4 linked regions of the Drosophila melanogaster genome follow. The protein of the gene in region 2 interacts with the protein of the main gene of each other region in a biochemical or structural test. Each region holds a gene or a part of one and is shown on either strand. Other genes may lie near its edges. The genes, in order: mtrm, polo, nuf and Klp10A.

Region 1 (3,495 bases), about 12 Mb from region 2:
CCAGATCGATGGCATTATAGGCCAAGGTGGCGAATACCTCGTTGTGTTTCGACTGGGGAATAATGTCGATCATGATGGCTCGCTCCCAGTTAAGTAACCGCTGCAGTCCCAGCAACATGACCAGATACTTGTCCAGTTCCTGATCGCCATCCATCAAATCCTCGGAGGTCAGGTGGTCGCTGTGCGATGATGCCTTCTTAATGGAGAACCCTGTGGACTGCTCAATCGTCTGCGTCGCGCGTAAATATAACTTGTTCGCCTTCTTTTCGAATCTATGCAGAATAAATTAAATATATCATATACGAAAACTTGGAAATTAAGTAATATTTCTCACATTTGCTGAAGACGAGCGGAGGTTGTCTTTTTTGGCTCCGTTTGGCGTCCACTGTGTCGCGGTCTCTGCAAGAAAACATTTTAAAAACATTAATTTGAATTGTTAATTGCCATTGCATTAATGTTTCTTCGGAATAATTAAGGTACTAAAATGGTAGCAAATTAAAAACTCTTATTTTTGTAACCTTTTAATATGCATTTGATTCTTATGAGTTTATTAATTTTAAAAATGTGTGTTTTACAAAAGCGTTTATACCCCAATTTTTTTTTTTTTTTTTGACAAAAAGTATTATGCAATTTGCTAGCTTACGAAATAAATTTAAATTTGTAAATGAGCTTCGGAGCAACATTTTAGGAATTACATAGATTCTTAAAGTGTACTAGAGTTTATTATTTAAGGCTAAAAACGACGAGCTTTAAGACACCAGGTCTTTTACAATAATTCTAGAATACCTACTTAATTATCCACATATATTAAAATCACAAAGTTTCTCTTCACATAAAACATTTTAAAATCTTAGTGTATGATAAAAGATGGACATGCCAGCGATTCACTTAAAGAGTGTGGAGCACATCCATGATACGGTTGCAATCCTCATCGGTATTTAGGCCGATTTTAACAAGATCAGCACGCTCCAAGGATGCCAGTTCCACCAGATCGATGTGAGCCTCTTCGAAATTGGTCACATAGTTCTCCAGGCCCATGTGCATGAGAATCTGTTCCACATTGGCGGCATGGTTAACCACGTACGAGTGGTTCGATGCTTTGATGGAACGACGACGCGACTCCAAGGCCAGTGAGGTCTCCATATTCGAGTCATCCGAACAGGTATCCGGGCTGCTGCAGCTCTTTATTTCTCGCTCCGGCTCGATGATCTCCTCCTGCGGCTTGGGCAGCACGAATGGCGGGGGCTTAAGCTGAGTGCGATGGCAGTGCTGATGCTGCTGCTGCTGCTGCTGCTTGGGATGCACCTTCGTTGGCACTTTCTTGAAGGTAGCGAACCGCATGGGCGACACTGGACTCTTCCCCTTCGTGCCCATATTCTCGATGGGCGAGAGATTGGGCGAACGGAAGTTGCCAAAGATCGGAGTAGAGCATCGCACGTTGGAGGTGTTCACCTTCAGGGTGTTCCATCTGCGCTCCTTTAGCGTTGGCGTGCGATTAAGCGTAATTTTGGTCTTGTTCGTGGGCGTGCGAGAATTCTCCATTTTTTTTAGATACTGTGACACAGAAAATGATGCGTTCTTTGCGAATTCAAGCTGGCAAATGGCGGTCATCGAATTGGACATGTAATGCTTACATGCACAAGCTTTTTCGAACAGACACCGTTAACCGAAACGATCAGAGATGGGAAAAGCATACATATGCTCATCATCGTACACATCGCTATTCATATTCTACTACGTACTATTTTTCTCCACATAATATATATGTATTAATACTAGTTAGAATATGAAAGAACTGTTTACTCACCAGAGCCTCGTGACCCCAACTGTTGCTCTTTTGGTGATCCTTGAGCAGCTGCAGCGATCGGAGAACCACTTCGCCCCGTTCCGTCGCGTAGATGTTTGTGTACTCCCTTAAATTTTGCTCCAACCAGTGCGATATGGTGTACAGCTCCTCGCGCGTCGTTTGCGAAAGCTGCCGGAATGAGGTGTATTCATCGCTGGAATCGTCCTCTATGTAGATAAGATCCAGCAACTCCACCGGCTTCAGCGGAGCACTGTGCTTCTTGAGGAGCATACTATAGTGCTGACTCAGGCCTTCGCAGCCGGTGTTAAACAAACTGGTGACATTCTCCAGCTCCACGCTCTGGGAATTGTTGTGCCGGAAGTAATCGTTGGCATCGCGCAGTTTGGCTAGTGCGTCGAGGAACACCGAGATGTTTCCCTCCACCGGGCCTTGATGAATCAACTGGCAGACCTCTTGGGAGACATCGTAGTGGGACAGGACGCTTTCCAGACAATTGAGAGTAGCTTCCAGATCTAAAAAAAAAAAGAGGCGGTGACACATTAGTTTTTTTTTTTTGAAATCCCATTGAGTTTATTTTCATACTCTGCTGCCGTTTCTGGAGCTGCTCCGTCTCCTGGTAGACGGGCAATATGGTCTGCTCCAGGTTTCCCAGGCGCTTCTCGAAGATTGTTAGAATACTGGACATTTGCGTGGACAGATCATGGTATTTATCCACTCGATCTTTCAGCAGAGCTAAATTGGTGGCTTCCTATGAGGAAAATGGGTAAGTATGGAGGTTTTGAGCATGACAACTAGACATACCTTCTCCAATTTATTGTGCGCCTGCAATGAACTGTCCAAATTGTTCATTTTCAAGCGTATATGTAGCTAAAATCCTTTAAAAACAAACAATAGTTCTGATATAAAAAACAATTCTATTTTATTTTGTTTTGACGAAACTAGGCATTTATGCACACTGGCTTTGGTCATACTGTCAATTACCGCGTTGCCAACTACTTTGCACGAAAAAAAAAATTATAACGGTCATTTCAGATAGTAATAGAAACTTTTTTTAAATATTGTACACTTAGACAATTAGGTAAACGATAATGAGGCTATGTTTTAAATAAATTGTTTTTACTACTAGTACTAGTTTATTAGTCAAGTCCTAGTTTTAAAAGCCAAAACTAACGGAAAAACCCGCCAAACTGCCATCTCCAGCCAAGACGCCAACTTTTGTTGTGGTTGGTTGCCATGGAATCTGTGTGTAAACAACGCACCTGCATTTAGGAATTTCTACCAACTATGCAGGATTAGCCAATTCGACTTCTGCAACAATGAGGGGTGTTCTCAAGTGGCTGGAACGCATAGAGTTTCCCAATAGCAAAGACAATGAGATCAGGTAAAGCTTTCTCATTCGTGGAAAACAACAACCTGTTGCTTGCTATAACGCCATAACGGTATTTGCAAAACCCAATTTTCCAGTGTCCACAATGTGTGCTACGCACCCGATGGCAGCCAATTGGTGGTGGCTGCGGGGGATCGGTTGCTCATCTACGATCCAAACGATGGCTCCTTGCTGAACACCTTGAAGGCGCACAAGGATACGGTCAATTGTGTGGCCTACTCGCGGGATGGCAAGCGGTTCGCCAGCGGAGCCTCCGATAAAATGGTCATCGTGTGGTCACCTCAGCTTGAGGGACTGCTCA
Region 2 (5,897 bases):
GGTATCCAAGTGCTATTTGGAATAGGGCTCAGTACCTTGTGGGGTTGTGGAGATGCTAGGCTAGACCAGACACAGCTCCATTTCCCCACTCCCACAGAAATTGCGAAACTTCTTTGATTTGATACGCACCCGAACAGCGATCCCAGAAAGCCCTTCTGCTGGGTCAACTTCTTCTCCGCCTCGGCCATCAGCTGGAGCGCCTTCTGTTCGTTGTCACCCATGTCGAGGATTTATGTCCGCCTCGGCACTAATTGCATCTAAGTTTAAGACTTGTTCGGCTTTTCAGCGAGTGTGTGTACGTATTGGGATCTTTTTTCGAGAAAATAAAATCAATATGCTGACTTGGTGTGACCGCAGAAGTGGTGCCAGTGTTACCATCTCACAGCATTCTCAAATAACTCATGCCAGTGTTGTGAAATGCAAGGGCTGTAACGTTTGTTCGTTCAAAATAATTCTCAGCCGCCTGAATGCGTCACCTACAGTCTGGCAGGTGCATTTTAAGAACAGCTGCCCTAAACGTTGCAAACAATCTTTTTTCAGATATTTTATTAAATTTTATATATATTCGCTTTTAGTTCAAAAGCATTTACATATTGTATCCTATAGCTACAGATATTTCTGGCCAAAGTTGAATATACTTGTACACTTAAACACTTTGCAGCAGTATTGTAACTTATGTATTATTTTAAATGGCGCTATAGCGCACTACGAACGCACAATATTACACTATTACTTTTATAATGTATCCAGCATTAAAATTTTGTTATCAGTCACCTCGGTGAATATAGGCATTTCGAAACACGTTTGCTTAGTTTAAACATTTAATTTGATCTCTTTAAAATGCATTAAGTGATCGGATCGTGTACGAAAACCATTAAACAGATATATTAAATTACTTTTGAGGGAGGCCCAACACTGACGATGAATATAACTTAAGCAGTATTTTCGATATGAAGGGGAAGGGGCAAAAACAAATAAATTCTATAAACATCGAACAAATCAATTTGAACGGGAACTACAATTTTAAAAGATGATGGGAGAGGAGGATACTTTCTGGGCTATAAATGAAGTTGGCCAGGGCATTCGTGAATTACGTTAAACTAACATTCGGCCTTATAATGATAGTTGGGCTGGCTACGCTTATGTGAACATCTTCTCCAGCATTTTCCTAAGTTTCTCCTGGGCATATCGGATCTTCTGGTACAAGTCTTTAGACACGCCGTTCTCCACAATGGTCGAAAATCGGTAGGTGCGGAAGTTCTTCTCCTGGTCCATATAGGTTATAGCACTCATGCGCGGGCAGAGGATGAGCTTCATGTGATCTGAGAAGTTTAGCTAAGAAGGATAGATAGTTCATTAGGACCAGATGTACATGATGCCGATGCTGTACAATTATACAAACCTGCACAGAACCGTTGGTCAAATGCATAACTACGGCACATGTTGTACGGAACCAGGAGTGTAAATGGGGCATACGCGAGATTTGATCGCTCTCAATGTTCACATTGTTGGCACCTGCCTTCACCAGGTGCTCGATCATGTAGCGCTTAAAGTACGACAGCAGCTTCATCTTCTTGTCAAGCGACTTGCAGTAATCCGTGGTGGTCATGTACGTCTCCTTGCCATCCTTGTCGATGAAGTGTACGTTGATCTGATTCGGCAGCAGGATCAGCTTTGTGGTGTCGTTGAACATCACGCCGATGCCCTCATCGCACAGCTGGTAACCAAATCCGTACTTGTCGCTGTAGTCAACCCACTTGGATATCCAGAAGAGCGGCTGCGCTGCAGGATCTGTGTTCTCGTCGCCCAGATTGCCTTGCAGAATTCGCGGCTAAAGAAGTGAAGAGGTATAAGAGTCTTAAATTATTTAACTAATATAGAGCAAAAGGTACTTACCTTTCCGTTGATAAGATTAGTGAGCTGCTGGTACAGGCTCTCGATATCGCTGCGATAGTCCTCGCTGTGGCGGCACACCTGCGCTGACGCGGTAATGGCGTCGTGCAGATTGGCCTTGAGGAAGGTCGACTCCAGACGAGTGTCGTCGGGCCTGATGCCGTTCATCTCCATCAGTGGCTTGCGGTGCATCGAATCCTCGATGGTGTCGTTGCTGCCGATACGCGGCGCCATTGTCAGACAAGAGCTGGGCAAGAACATGGGCACCTTTGAGCCCTTGAGGAACTCAAAGTTCAGCAGCTGACCAATTGCCGGGCGGCTCTCCGGATTTGGCTGCAGCATGGCGATGACCATATCCGCCGCCGGTTTCCTTAAGTAGCTGGGCACGCGGTACTCGCACTTCTTGATTTTCGAGTACGTATCCTTCAGAGTCTTGGTTTCGAACGGCGGCTGGCCCACAAGCAGTGTGTACATGACGCAGCCAATCGACCAGATGTCCACCTCGAAGGAGTGGCCCTTCTTGGTGAGGATCTCCGGGGCTATATAGTTGGGCGTTCCGCATAAGGTCTTTTTTCGCTCGCCCTCATACTCAATGCGCGTGGCCAACCCGAAATCCCCGATCTTCACGTGCAACAAATCGTTGAGGAAGAGATTGCCCAGCTTCAGATCTCGATGGATAATGCGGTTATCGTGCAAGTACTTAACGCCCTGGATTATCTGGTAAATGTAGTAGCGGCATTCGAACTCCGTAATGCTTTTCCTACGTTTGTGCAGCTCCATCATGGACTGTAAGTCGGAGAGGTAAGTGTCATGGTGGCATATTGCAGAGATGTTCTATTAAACTCACTCTTTTCTTGCACAGCTCCAGCACAATGTAGATATTCTGCGAATCTTCAAAGTAGTTGTGAAACTTGACAATGTTCGGATGGTTAAGGCTGCGGTGAATAGTTATCTCCTGGGCGGTCTTCTCCTTCTGATTGTGTTTGATCATCAGCTTCTTGGATACGATCTTGCCGGCGAAGACGTCGTCGGTTTCCACATCGATGATCTCGTAACATTTTGCAAACCCGCCCTGCATAAAGCATATTAATTTTGTATTTAAAAACATTATACAAAAACATAACCTTATACTGTATTAAAAACAGATCTATGATAAAACTTTGCATATAGGTATTTTCAAGTAAATGGCGTTTAATAAACGTATTGATGTCTATTTTACAAACATATTCTGTATAAACTTTTTATCCATATTGGTTGGCAACATAAAATTAGTAATTTATATTTAACAATCACATGTTTAGTACCTTTGCTCCAATCTGCGGAGCCCCTTCCAAGAAAATATTTATATGCCAATAGCACAACGAGGAAATTGTTGGTTCAACTAAGTTGCAACAGTTCCTTTTCTTGTCTATGTAAATTCGAAGAAGCCGCGCCAAAAAAAAAAACTGAACAAGCAGCCAACTGCATGAACACACACACACAGGCTCGTACAAGATTCCCACACACAGGCTCTCTTTTTCTCTCCTGCTCTTAAAGGAGAGAGCTACAAAAACAACAAGGGAATGCTCATCAGCAAGGAAAACGGAACGAAAACCGGGATGTGGAAATGGATATGTGTGTATGCGGGTGCGTGCATGTGTGCGTGTAGGTAAATGTGTGATCCCTTCGACTGATCTGATCCCGGGCATCTGCAAATCCGCATCCGGACTCACCTTGCCGAAGAACCGCATGCGCTTGTAGGTTTTCCGCTGGTTGATGTCGACGAGGCGATCCGGAATATCCGTGCTCTTATCCTCGGGCTTCGCGGCCATCTTGCTCTCCTTTCTTCTTTACTACGGACTGCCCCTTTTGCGTTTGCGTTCGCCTGGAGTTTTGCGGCGATACTCCTCGTTCTGAGCCTATAATTCCACCGGCGATCGGCTGAAAGTGCCTCGGAAACGGAGATCAGATCCACACGGTTGACAAGAGAAGCGGCGATCAAATCTCGGTTTTGCCCATCGAATGCACGAAAACCAAGCACAAAGCGGAGAACGCGCCGAAACCGTTCGATTTTTTAAATGCCAAAATGAATTGGACGTGAAGCGTCAGCTGAATTGGTGTGCCCGTTTCGCTGGCTATCGCACACTTTCTGGTATGTATCGCGGTATTTTGTTGAGTGTTGAACAACAAATTCTATGGCCGTTACCCTTTTGAATTTACCTACTGGCGTTTACTCTGTTCGAATTGAGCGCAATATTTTTTCCTATTGCTCTGCGCAACACTGTGTTTAACCGCTATTTATTTGAAAATCTACAAAAACTAACGTTACATTTTTGAAATTTCAAAAGGGTTTCATAAATTGAGTTTACTAAACAGTCAACGGTCAACTTTATATTGTAGAGCCCCTTTTCTAATTTGAATTGCTGCAAACGTTTTCTGAGTAAAAATACTGCCACCTTGTAATTGCAGGTTTCGATCCTGATTTGTGTTAAAAAGAAATTATTAGAAACAGCTATCTCAAAGCCTTCTATGTTTTTCAGTTAAACTTTCAAATAACGGTTAAAAATAATTTTGATAAAAAAAAAACAACACTAAAACACACACAAGTAAATAGAAAAAATAATGTGTTTACTTAATAACTTTATTAAATAATCCCCAGATTTTGTTTTTCTACATTGATTTAATAACGACTACGAATACCCCACTATTGGTGTAGATTTCCGTTTAGATTTTGACTATGCCTGCTGATATCTCGAAGGGGTCGCTTGGGTTGGAGGATTGTATGTTCTAGAATAGGTCTATTTGGGGTCTCTTGGTTATTGCCATCGTTTCGTTCTCTGGGATTACTCCTTACAAGCTGCCCCGTTTTGGCTCTTGTTGCTGTTCTGATTTTAATGTTTTGTTTTTGTTTGCGAAAGAGGCCTTATAAGTAGAAAAATGTGGTTTTAGTTCTTAGTTGTCGTCGTTAATACATAAATTATTACATTAAATATATTATCAATAGTTTAGTTTCATAGTTGGTTGCTTTGCCAGTGTACGCAGTCTCTCCAAAATGCCTTGTGTTTCCGTGTGGGTGAGTGTGTGCTTGTGTGTTTTAGGCCGAAGAAGTGGCTGGTGGATCTGATCGTGGATCTGAGTGTGGGTGTGGGTGTCAGTGAGTGTCCTGCGGTTATGTCTTAAATTTTCGCCGATCTATCTTATCAGCATTCCCATCCCATCGCATCGCATCCCATCTCCGACTCAGTCTCCGCGAACTCCTCTCCGCACTGAGCTCCCAAAGTTGAACTAGAAATAGGCGACTCGATACAGCTTTTCTCAGCTAGATCCGGTTGTGGAGGTGACCTGACTCCGCTGCAGGCGCAGCCATTCAACAAACTCATCCAGCATGACGGGCCCTGCAAAAAGATGGGGGTAACTAAATGCTCCGTTTCAAGTTCTTATTTTAACTTATTTATCAGCTTCTTTTAATACGGTTGCGAAATACATAGTTCAGTTTAGTTTAGTTAGCTCCTTTGTGTTACTTACAAGCTCCGTCGATATCGTAGTTTGATAGATCAATGCTAATGGTGCGCGAGAACTCGAGAATATTACACCACTGATCTTTGTTGATCGCCTTGTACTTTGATTGCTCTAGAAACTGTGCGAACTGTGGATACAGAGGCCAATGTTTGCCCAAAAGTAGTTGAAGCATGGCTTTGGCAGTGAGTATATCCATACACCGTTGGTCCGAGTCCTGCGGAATATGCAGAGCCTTATTAAACGCAGCTCATTGTTTATTCAAATGGATTACTGACCTTGGCAAAGTCGTAGGCGTATCTGTAGATGCTTTTAAAGGAGTTGGGATCGTTGAGTATGCTGCGCAGATAGTCCAATTTCACAACCATTTTCGCTGCCGAATCGCAGTCGAGTTCTGTGAGGCCCTTTAGCCACTCCTGCTGGCTGAAGAAGCCCATCTGGGTGGCGCCCATTTTGTAGGCCAGCACCAGCATCACAATATTCTCGGGCTCCACGCCGATATCCTCGCA
Region 3 (4,946 bases), 6.1 Mb from region 2:
CATTATATAAGCCAACCCTCTCTTTACTTCTTCTTTTTTTTTTAGAACCAACAGACCGTAAAATTATTTTGTTCAGACTTTGAGCAGAATTCTAGACAATTTTACATATCCTCGTCGTACAGCTATTTTCCAACCTCTCCCTATTTTCATTGTTATTTTGTTCCTCAGGTTTTGAATTCCCGCCTAGTTTCTAATTACCAGAAAATGCAATGGCTGGCTAAGTTTGCTTTTCTTTTACTTGGAATTTGTGGCGTGCTGTTTACTTTTGTAGTCTAGTAAACTGAATCATTCTTAGTCTTATCAAATCGTTCGGCGACGTGTATAGTTAAGGTGCCCTTGTCAAAGCTTCATTTTCACGTTATCACATACAAATTTAAATAAAGGTCAATATGAGGGCCAATTAAAAGCAGGGCATGACTGATAAAGATTTTACTTTTTAAAGAACTTTATTTGCTTTGAATGATTCCAAGTTGATTTACGAAATAAGCATTCAAATAAATAAAATACAACTTTATTACAAATGATTTGGAAACCCTTATCAAAATACAATCCAATTCCTTCAATACAAGTACAGTAAGTAACCGAATAATCTGATTTCAATTCAACTAAAACTAATTTGCTAATGAAGTAAACTTTCCTTTCTTGTCAGCTGAATATTTTTGGATTATCATATCTCTTCAACCATTTTTTCCTCGCCCATGTCAGGCAATCAAAAACAGCATAATAGAAAATTATCATTAGCTACTCTTCAGCAAAATTGAATTCCACAAAGATTTGCATACAATGGTCGACGAAGGAAGGGGTGAAAATGGGGATGAGTCGAACGAGGGGAGCTCATTAAATGCAAATTTTACTTCGCTGCTGTGCACTTTTCATGCAACAAAGTGAAGTGAACAAGTTACAACAAAAAGGTTGTAAAATATACAATGATTAGCCGAAATTGGATCAGGAATGCTGAGTACCACATAAAATATTCATGATTTCAAACAAATGTATATTTAAAGACTTTGCATCAATTATATGGGAATCATATACATAAGAACTTGAAAAAAAATTGTCATTGATTATTTTTAATGTACTATTATGTATTCTATAACTTTCTTGAAAGCTTTTGCTTAAAAGAACCAAAAACTAATGATGCAATCCTTTAAAATATTTTTAATTTTCCTGCCGATTTTATGATCTTCAATAATCTGTGCCGCGATCTCACAAATATTTTTCAATTTTAAAAGTGAATAGCTAATTTTTTCGATTATTTAAAATGGTGTATTATGTATTTTATTACAACCACAATCGAGGGAGAAAAACAAATTTCGATTAAAGCACGCGAAACGCGAAAAGCAAACTGAATGAACCAGAAATTCAGGGGCAAAATAAACCGAGGCAGTCGCCAGCGATAGAGAGAAAAATGAGAGACTGGGAGAGCGAATTTGGGGAGGCGCAATCTTTATAAATAGGAAAAAATAATAATCAACAAACAAGAGCAATGACAAGGGACCGAAGAAAGAGAGCGATCCGATCCCCCAAAGGAAAAGTTTTTCGCCATATGTCCGAGGGTGATTCTCTCGCCGAATCCGCCCGCCTCCTTTATTTTGAACATATGGTTTTTGAGTCAGGGACAGCGCATAATTATGTGGAATTTATATACGGTCACCCCAAGCCAACCGCTCCCAAAATGCCTCCCATCATATGTTCATATATGCATACATACGTATGTATGTATATGTTTTACTCATTACTAAATAAAAGCGCAAGTGAATAAGCGTGGACACGAACCGAAAAGCAAGAGTAACGGGACGCATGCGGGATTGGATGGTAATCTCCATCCATTTCGTCCCATCTCTTTCGTACACCCCCTTTTTGTTGATGTCATCAGAGGGTCTTTTCCGTTCTTTTGTTATTGCGGCTACCTTAGGCCTTTTACTTATTGGTTTTTAGTGCTAGTTTTCAGTTCCGGTTAGTTGTCTTCTGTGCTGTTAGGGCACTGTGCCGTTAGATTTATATGCCTACTAATTGACGAACCATCGCTAATGAAAGAATATTTTCCTACCAAACTTAACGGTACGGAAAATGCCTAGTAAAAGAAATTAAGAAGTACGAGTTATGTATAATGAATGAACTTGGAACTGCTATGCGTTATTCTCGGTGGAAGCCCTTGATTTATTTAATTCCCTTTGAATGTAGAAACTGCCGAAAGCAATGAAAACAAGACTTGATTTTTAAAGAGGCAATATTATTTTTTTTTTTTCATCTTCCTAAGTTTACTAAACTTTTTAAGAAAATACTTAAACTTGTCTCCATTAATAATAAAAAAAATCAACACAAAAAGCACAATTAATTTACATTGTGCCGGTTTTGCAAATTTGATCACCTTATCTTTCTTCGTTTTACTTCATCAATTACCGTCAGTGTTTTTTCAACTTTTAACGCCCCATAACGAAGAATTGCTTTGAATTGTTTAAAGCTATTTTATTTTTTCTTTCATTTTGTCCCATTTATTGTATCATTTATCAATTTTATGCCACACTTGATTTCCATTTTTTATGTTTCGATAAAACACTTGGCAAACTGATTCAACCGCACTTTTCAATTTAAGATCAATCAACCAATATATTTGCCAGAGGGTATGAAAATTAGAAACATGAGCCGAACAAGGCTACTTTGATTACGGGTTTTCACAACAGACCCTGTCATTAACGAATTTGTTTTGATTTCACATTTTTCCTTAAATAAGCGGTTAATGAGCCAAAGGCACCTGACACAGCTGATAAGCGAATTCGATCGATAATAGGTAACACACAAAAAACACACGAATTGAGGTAACTTTGGGTTAATTTTCTCGAATTTCGAACCTTTTTTAATTTGGCTATTTTGCTTAGGAGAGCAGCAGCAGCAGCTGCATTTTCCTTTTCCTTGGCAATTGCATTGCCCAACAACAAAACACCCGCGCGAGAGAGCGCGAGAGAGTGAGAGACAGGGCGACCGTTCGATGCGCTGCTCCGCTTTTCTAGTGTTGTGAACGCGGCAAGCGTTAAATGCAATCTGAGAGAGGAAAGCGCTGAAAAGCCAGCGCCAAGTCGCGGCCCCTCCTCTGCCGCTGCCTCGGTCGACGTCGGCAGAAGCCGCGACTTGTTTTGGGTGCCCGAAAAAATAACGAAAAGAAATACAAAAAAACAGAGCCCCAAAGCAAAACGAACGCAATAGAAAAATTCCACTAATGTGACTTAGCAGTGTTGGAAATTCGTATTACATGCACTTGAGAAAAGAAAATTTTGTTTGCTGAGTGGCTTATATGCACATACACATATACACATTGTATAACATAGTTAGCCAGGTGTTTTTAGGTTTGAAAAGAAATACTAACTTCCAAATATAATATTTGTTTAAACAAAACTTATATTGCAGAATATATTTAAAAAATAATGGATTCAATTTGAGTTTTTGAATGTATTTAGTAAAGTGCACTTTACCAAACATATACATATGTATTACTGGTGGTTAATTCTTTTTTTTCATCAGTGTATGTGACTTAATAGACATTTGCAAAGTGCATTCGGGTAAAGTGGATAGAATGGCTTGAGGGAAAGGTGATGGGAGACAGAATGAGAATCGAGTGGAAAGAATCAAAAGCGACATATGTGAGCAACTCTTGAACTAAATTGAGTCAATTAAAAGTAATGGAAAGAAAAATCAAAGGAAAATGAGTCAGGGAACTGGGCTGTTCAGGGTGCACCGGATTATTCAACGAATTGGTCTGAAATGCGTAACATATGAGAGCGATGTAAATAGTTGAACCGACAAAATACATTTTTTTGCACCCCCTTTTATTTTGCAAAGTTTTCTTGAAAAGTATAATTTCAGTGTAATAGTGTAAATGTGTGATTGACAGCACTATTATGTATTGACACCCTTCAGAGGGCTCCGCAGTCTTCGATAATTACTTTCTTGCTGGTCTTCCCATCTTGTGAACCGTAAGATTCTACCTTCTGGACGATATCCATTCCCTCAACGACCTTGCCGAACACGACATGCTTATTATCCAGCCATGTGGTTTTCCCGGTGCAAATGAAAAACTGAGATCCATTGGTATTGGCCCCAGCATTGGCCATCGAAAGTACACCAGCTCCGGTATGCTTTAGCTCGAAATTCTCATCGGGAAACTTGTTTCCATAAATGGAGCGTCCTCCAGTTCCGTTTTGATTAGTGAAATCACCGCCCTGACACATGAAATTCGGGATGACGCGGTGGAATGGTGATCCCTTGTAGCCGTACCCCTTCTCTCCGGTGCAGAGGGCCCGGAAATTCTCCGCCGTCTTGGGCACCACATCCGAACGTAGTTCCATCACAATTCTACCTAACTTCTCACCTCCTGCGGCTATATCGAAGTAAACGCGTGGCAACGACATCTTCGCAGATGCCGAAAATTTTCGGAGAAAAGCCAGATCTATTAGGTTTAAAATCGAACGATGCCTTGTTCAAAAACAAGAAATATATTTACCGGATAACTTGGTGGTGTCAGCTTTATGATAAAAAAAAGTAACGACTTTCAAGAGAACCGTACAGTAGAACAGCTGGAACTGAACTGACGAATATTCTGGGCTAGTCAGGGATCTGAAGTAAGGGCTCGTTGAAATTCATTTCACAGCCTTCTTTATAAAATCCAGTAGCAAAAAAAAATGCCTGCTTTGGCTTCCACAATTTTTAATACATTGCAAATGATCGGTATATTTGGATATTTTAAGGTAATATTGTCCTTAAAATACCTTTATCCGTGTCTAATCTTACAGACCTTATTTACTCTTCTAATTTGTTTAACCGCCGCCTTAATCAACGCAAAACTCACAGATACTTTTAAAGCCGGCTATATTTACCTTTCATTTGCAGTTGTGTACAAACTTTATATATCCATCCACGCGATGAGTGTATGTTTGTATAATTAGGCAAAA
Region 4 (4,948 bases), on a different chromosome or scaffold from region 2:
GCCGTGACGCAACTAATGGCATTACCAATTCCCGACAGCCACACAATACATACGAGTGCGAAAACCGGAAAGAGAAGCTAAGCAAGAAGTTGGCGGAGAAAGGAAAGGGGCAGCAGCAGCCGTAGCAGCTTTAATTCAATTGAAGCCAAACAATTGCTAATGGACAAATGCCGGGCCACAAGGCAGTTACTTTTTCGAAATCTCTTCCGCTGGAGAATTGGGTTTAGAGAGCTCGTGTGCAGATCGGCGGACGGAGTGGCCGGGCGGGGGCAGGTGAAGCGTCTGGGGCTTCCAAGTTAGTCATTCAACGAACTTGGCTATTTCGGGAGCAACCGCTTTCATGATGCATGTGTGTGGCTCTGTTGCCGTCTCTGTCGGCATGACTCAATGGGTCGCTCTAACAGAGATGCGCCAACGAAACGAGCTCGAAAAGTGACTGGCACATTTGGTTACTCGATGGAAATCTGATAAATGGGGCAATGATTTCTTTAAAGGATATGCTGCTTTATACTATATATGATTCCACTGCATCAACAAATTAGGTTTAAGATTGAATGATAGCTATAGAGGGTCATCTATAACGAAATAAGATTTTCTATAGTTCAGTTCAATTGAAATAAAGCCGTTTGCTAGCAAGGATACGCATTAGTAATTGAAGAAGCCTCCCCAAGACATTGGAATGTGTGGTCACCATATCGAGCGTTTGTTTAGAATCACTACTAGTAATTCAAACAGACCATATATGGAGTTGTTTTGGAGCTTGTTATTTGGATTGGATACTCACTTGTATACCATGGCATTGTCGCACGTGTCGTTGAAGGCGTAGTCGAAGCGAAACTTGTGGTTCTCCAGGAACTTGGTGAGGTCGACCTTGCTGCGCGGCTCGTGCACGATGAGCATGTCCTTGCGCGGCACCGAAATGACATCGATCTCCTTGCGATTGACCTCCTTGCGGCTAATGGGACGCTTGCGCACGCACACTGTGATCTGATGGTCATCGACGGCCTGGCCATCGAGCAGCGGCACAAATTCCAGCGTGCTCTGATATTCGCGTATCATTTGCGCCGTCTCCCAGTTTGGATTGCCCGGATCCTGGTTCATCAGCGCCACCTTCTCCTCCTTCATCTCGGCCTGTCGGGCGCGTCGCTTCTCGCGATTCTCCTTCAGTCGCTCCACCTCTTTCAATGCGTGCGATCGCCGGGTACTAGCGCCGCCAGCTCCCTGGGTTGTGGCCGCAGTGGCGACTCCTTGTGCCGCCGGACCAGCACTGGCTGCCGCGCTGGGATTGGGCAATGTGTTATTAGGCACCGCCGAGGCGATCCTTGTCTGCTGCTGGCCGGTAGCAGCTTGCGAGTACCGTGGACGCTGTAATCCAGTGGTCGTCGACGTTGTGGTGCCACCACCTCCGCCGGCCGTAGTGTTGGAGTTGCTGTTTGTATTCACGCTATTGCTGCTGACAATCGGATTGGGAATCGACTGGCTTTCCTGGATCTTGTTCAGCATGTTTCCGGCCATGGTCATACGGCTGGTGAGATTGCCACCGATAGCCGATTGTGTGGGATTACGCGAGAGGTTCATCGGCGCGGTGGCTTGTTTCTTGGGCTCCGGGGCGGCGTGCTGTTCGACAGTATCTTGCATTAGCTCCGGATTGAGCGTGAGTATGGCGTCCAGTTCTACCTCCTTGCCCTTCGTTTCGCCGCGCTCGTACCATTCGACTGTGATGCACTTGCCCGACTGGTTGATCACCGCCACCACGGCCATGTGGACGCGGCCATCCGTCCGCTTGATCTTGACGCTCTGCCCCACCGTAATCATGTCCATGATCCTTCCTCTTTGACTCCACCTGTATATCTCTATTCTCCACCGATCTCTTTCTCTTTCTCCCGGCTTATCCTGCGTTAACTCCGAGTACTGCTTGATGGACAGCAACTTCCACTGCTTGCAGGAGGAGTTCCGTTAGTCGTAGATGTAGTAACTACGTTGTGGTGTGCAAAATGTGCCTAAATAAATACATAAACAAAAAACACAATTTAGTCAGATTTTTTAGGTCGAAAATAATTTTATTTCGTTGTTTCTTGACGAGCGATAAACTTGTGGAAACTAAGCCCCGAACCGAATTCAAGGCATTGACAACTAAATCGAACCCAACTGCTTGTCGAGGTCGCCGACAGCGTCTGTTTTTTTTTTTTCGAGTGTCCCAGTGTGTGTGTGTGTGCTGCTTGCGGGTCGGCGTTAGTATGTGTGTTTGTGCTGAATTCAAATGCCAACTGTCGTTTTCGTTGCGTCTGGCAACGGATAACAAAAAGGAAAAACGGCAGCCCGCTGGCTGGGAATTGGAAATAGGAAAAGGGGAGCTCCGAGCCAGCGTAGGATCGCGAAAATCCCAACCGAGTTGCTGCTTTTGTTGTTGTGCGCCCATTTTGTGGGCACTGGCGGCACTGTGCAACACTGACACACACATAGCGACACATATGCAGCTGCGGCAAGCCTTTTGGCCGAAATGCAGCGAAAAAAACAACAAACCGCGGCGTTTGGCAGCCAATCAATGCTTTCCGCTCCTAATTAGATGCAAAACTGATGAGAGAGAAACACAACACTTGCACACACACACATATGCAAGGAGTGGGGGGAATGCGTTTGCTTTATCGCTTTACGTCATACACAGAGCACCCACACACACTTGCGAGCAAACACAAACACACACCGATGCAGAAAACAGACGGTCGCGGAAATTTAATTGAATTTTTCGCAATCTTCTGCCTTTCGCTCACCTTTCCTGCTATCTTCCCAACCGCTACAATGTGTTAGCACTTTCCATTAAAAAAAAAACTGGCGGATTTATCGACCGATCACAACGAAATATCACAAAATCTGCTAGAAATAGTTTTGCAAGCGACCAGATGTCAGCAACACAATTTTTTAGTTTCGCCTCGCCATTGTTTTTTGTCCCCGCCGCGTTGCGCAGCACTGGACTGCAGCGCAAACAGTGCTGGCAATCAGCCGTTGTGTTTGAAAAGTGAGACAATTGGCGTGTTAATAAGTGAATAAAATCCATATTAAGCAGGGTTACTATTGGCTAAGTAGTTTTTGGGTATATTTATGACTTTTTAGTAGAAATACAAGTATAATTTTGACAACTTGAGAGTTTATTATTAAGATTGATGTCTTGGCCAACACTAGGCAAAGTAACCGTTAAAAATGTCAGCTGTTTTGGAATTTATATCAATAAGTAATAAAAATAAGCGACCGCTTTTGTTGGCATAAGCATAAGTTCATTAAAATGTGCCTTATTTATTGAAAGAATCAACGTTTCGGCAATACTTTGTATATTTGTGTGCAATTGGCTTTTCCGCCCCCCGAAACTAGACAACACTAGACATACATAACGTTGGGTATTTTTAAGCCCTAACAAAATTAGCTGTTTAATAAGACAAATTGGGAGTGCCTTATCAGGGTGAACTAGGTATTATTCGACGTGGATGGTTATTCATTTGCATGGTTTTACCGTTTTGTCATTCATGTATACATATGCACTTGGGTTAAATTTTGTAATTTTCTTGTAGTTTTATGGTTGTTAATTATCTTTTTTTCAAAAACATTTAGCCATTTACCAATTTGGACAAAGAGCTTTCCACATGTATACAAATTGCTTGTACAGTGGAAACACCCACATTCGAGACGCGAATAGGTGGGCACTTTGCATCGCGCTTGTCTATCGATACTATAATCCGAACCATCGACTTTTGTTGGTGGGGGTGTATTTGTTTGTGCGTTGAAGGGAAAGCGTAATAACGCCTCCTGATATCGATATCGATATCATATCACAAAAAACAATAAACCAAAAAAGAAACGCTAAAAACTAGTAGTTTTGTGTGCCAGGAAAACGGAAAGGTGGACATAGTTAAGTTACCACAACAACCGACGGATATCGACTCCAGACACCACATCGCCCAGCGCCACCATGGACATCATGGATATCCAGGCCGTAGAGTCCAAGCTGAGTGACGTCACGGTGACACCGATACCGCGCAGCCAAGTGCAGAATTTCTACAATTACCAGCAGCAGCGGGAGCAGCGCGAGCAGCAGCCCCAAATCCAGATATCGGCCATCCACCACTCGCGTGGATCCGTTGGCGGAGGAGGCGGATCCAACTCATCCAACGCTGCCACCGACTACTCCACGAGCAGCGGTGGCAAGCGGGAGCGGGACCGCTCCTCCGCCAGCGACTACAGCAGCTCGTCCAGCAAGCAGAGCTCCGCTGCAGCGGCCAATGCAGCAGCAGCTGCCGCCGCCGTCGCTGCCCTCCAATACTCCCCGCAGTTCCTCCAGGCCCAGCTGGCGCTACTCCAGCAGCAGTCGAACACGACGGCCACGCCGGCAGCCGTCGCCGCTGCGGCCCTCTCGCTGGCCAACATGTGCTCCAGCAATGGTGGTCAGCGGAATTCCGGTGCCGGCGTTTCCTCCACCTCCTCTGGCAGCAATGGCCAGAGCATGGGCCTGAATCTGAGCTCATCGCAGCTAAAGTACCCGCCACCCTCCACCTCGCCCGTGGTGGTGACCACCCAAACTTCGGCCAATATCACCACGCCGCTGACCTCCACGGCCAGCCTGCCCTCAGTGGGCCCGGGCAATGGGCTGACCAAGTACGCCCAGCTGCTGGCCGTCATTGAGGAGATGGGCCGCGATATCCGGCCCACGTACACGGGCTCGCGCAGCTCCACGGAGCGTCTCAAGCGGGGCATTGTCCATGCCCGCATCCTGGTGCGCGAATGCCTCATGGAAACGGAGCGTGCGGCGCGCCAATGAGAGGAGGAGTCGCTGGCGCCGCAGCTGGCGACCCCGGAGTGAAATGGACCAGGAGGCGAGGATCGGCCTCATCTAGGTTAATTACCCCCAAACAAAAAAAACAAAAAAAAACACGGACATATAGCAAACGCAAAGATCCAT

The links.
Region 1: the proteins of polo (region 2) and mtrm form a complex in vitro, tested with the Drosophila melanogaster proteins (one study listed by BioGRID).
Region 3: of the proteins of polo (region 2) and nuf, one has a biochemical effect on the other in vitro, tested with the Drosophila melanogaster proteins (one study listed by BioGRID).
Region 4: of the proteins of polo (region 2) and Klp10A, one has a biochemical effect on the other in vitro, tested with the Drosophila melanogaster proteins (one study listed by BioGRID).

What each region holds. Positions count from the first base shown.
Region 1 is NT_037436.4:8,411,122-8,414,616, reverse strand, and holds mtrm (matrimony), read right to left. Parts: upstream 1,606-3,495; 5' UTR 1,543-1,605; coding exon 889-1,542; 3' UTR 514-888; downstream 1-513. Other genes in the region: Exo70 (exocyst 70), read right to left, coding at 1-272, 335-399, 1,808-2,319, 2,390-2,555, 2,609-2,656; Oseg1 (outer segment 1), read left to right, coding at 3,124-3,188, 3,272-3,495. UniProt on the Drosophila melanogaster protein: Polo kinase inhibitor required to maintain G2 arrest in the meiotic cell cycle in females. Holds heterochromatically paired homologs together from the end of pachytene until metaphase I.
Region 2 is NT_037436.4:20,308,117-20,314,013, reverse strand, and holds polo (polo), read right to left. Parts: upstream 4,361-5,897; 5' UTR 3,705-4,360; coding exon 3,606-3,704; intron 2,966-3,605; coding exon 2,741-2,965; intron 2,680-2,740; coding exon 1,897-2,679; intron 1,832-1,896; coding exon 1,403-1,831; intron 1,336-1,402; coding exon 1,141-1,335; 3' UTR 548-1,140; downstream 1-547. Other genes in the region: alphaSnap (alpha soluble NSF attachment protein), read right to left, coding at 130-221; SCCRO4 (squamous cell carcinoma-related oncogene 4), read right to left, coding at 5,188-5,267, 5,398-5,605, 5,667-5,897. UniProt on the Drosophila melanogaster protein: May play a role in regulating both nuclear and cytoplasmic aspects of the mitotic cycle. Regulates localization of the augmin complex during mitosis by ensuring its location on mitotic spindles.
Region 3 is NT_037436.4:14,217,843-14,222,788, reverse strand, and holds the start of nuf (nuclear fallout), read right to left. Parts: upstream 3,048-4,946; 5' UTR 2,853-3,047; intron 1,350-2,852; exon of another isoform or gene 1,289-1,349; intron 1-1,288. Other genes in the region: CG7768 (uncharacterized protein), read right to left, coding at 3,912-4,406.
Region 4 is NC_004354.4:11,134,096-11,139,043, forward strand, and holds the start of Klp10A (Kinesin-like protein at 10A), read right to left. Parts: upstream 3,024-4,948; 5' UTR 2,772-3,023; intron 2,684-2,771; exon of another isoform or gene 2,001-2,683; 5' UTR 1,822-2,000; coding exon 785-1,821; intron 1-784. Other genes in the region: CDK2AP1 (CDK2-associated protein 1), read left to right, coding at 3,962-4,807. UniProt on the Drosophila melanogaster protein: Required during anaphase to drive sister chromatid separation to promote flux by actively depolymerizing kinetochore microtubules at their pole-associated minus ends, thereby moving chromatids through a 'poleward flux'.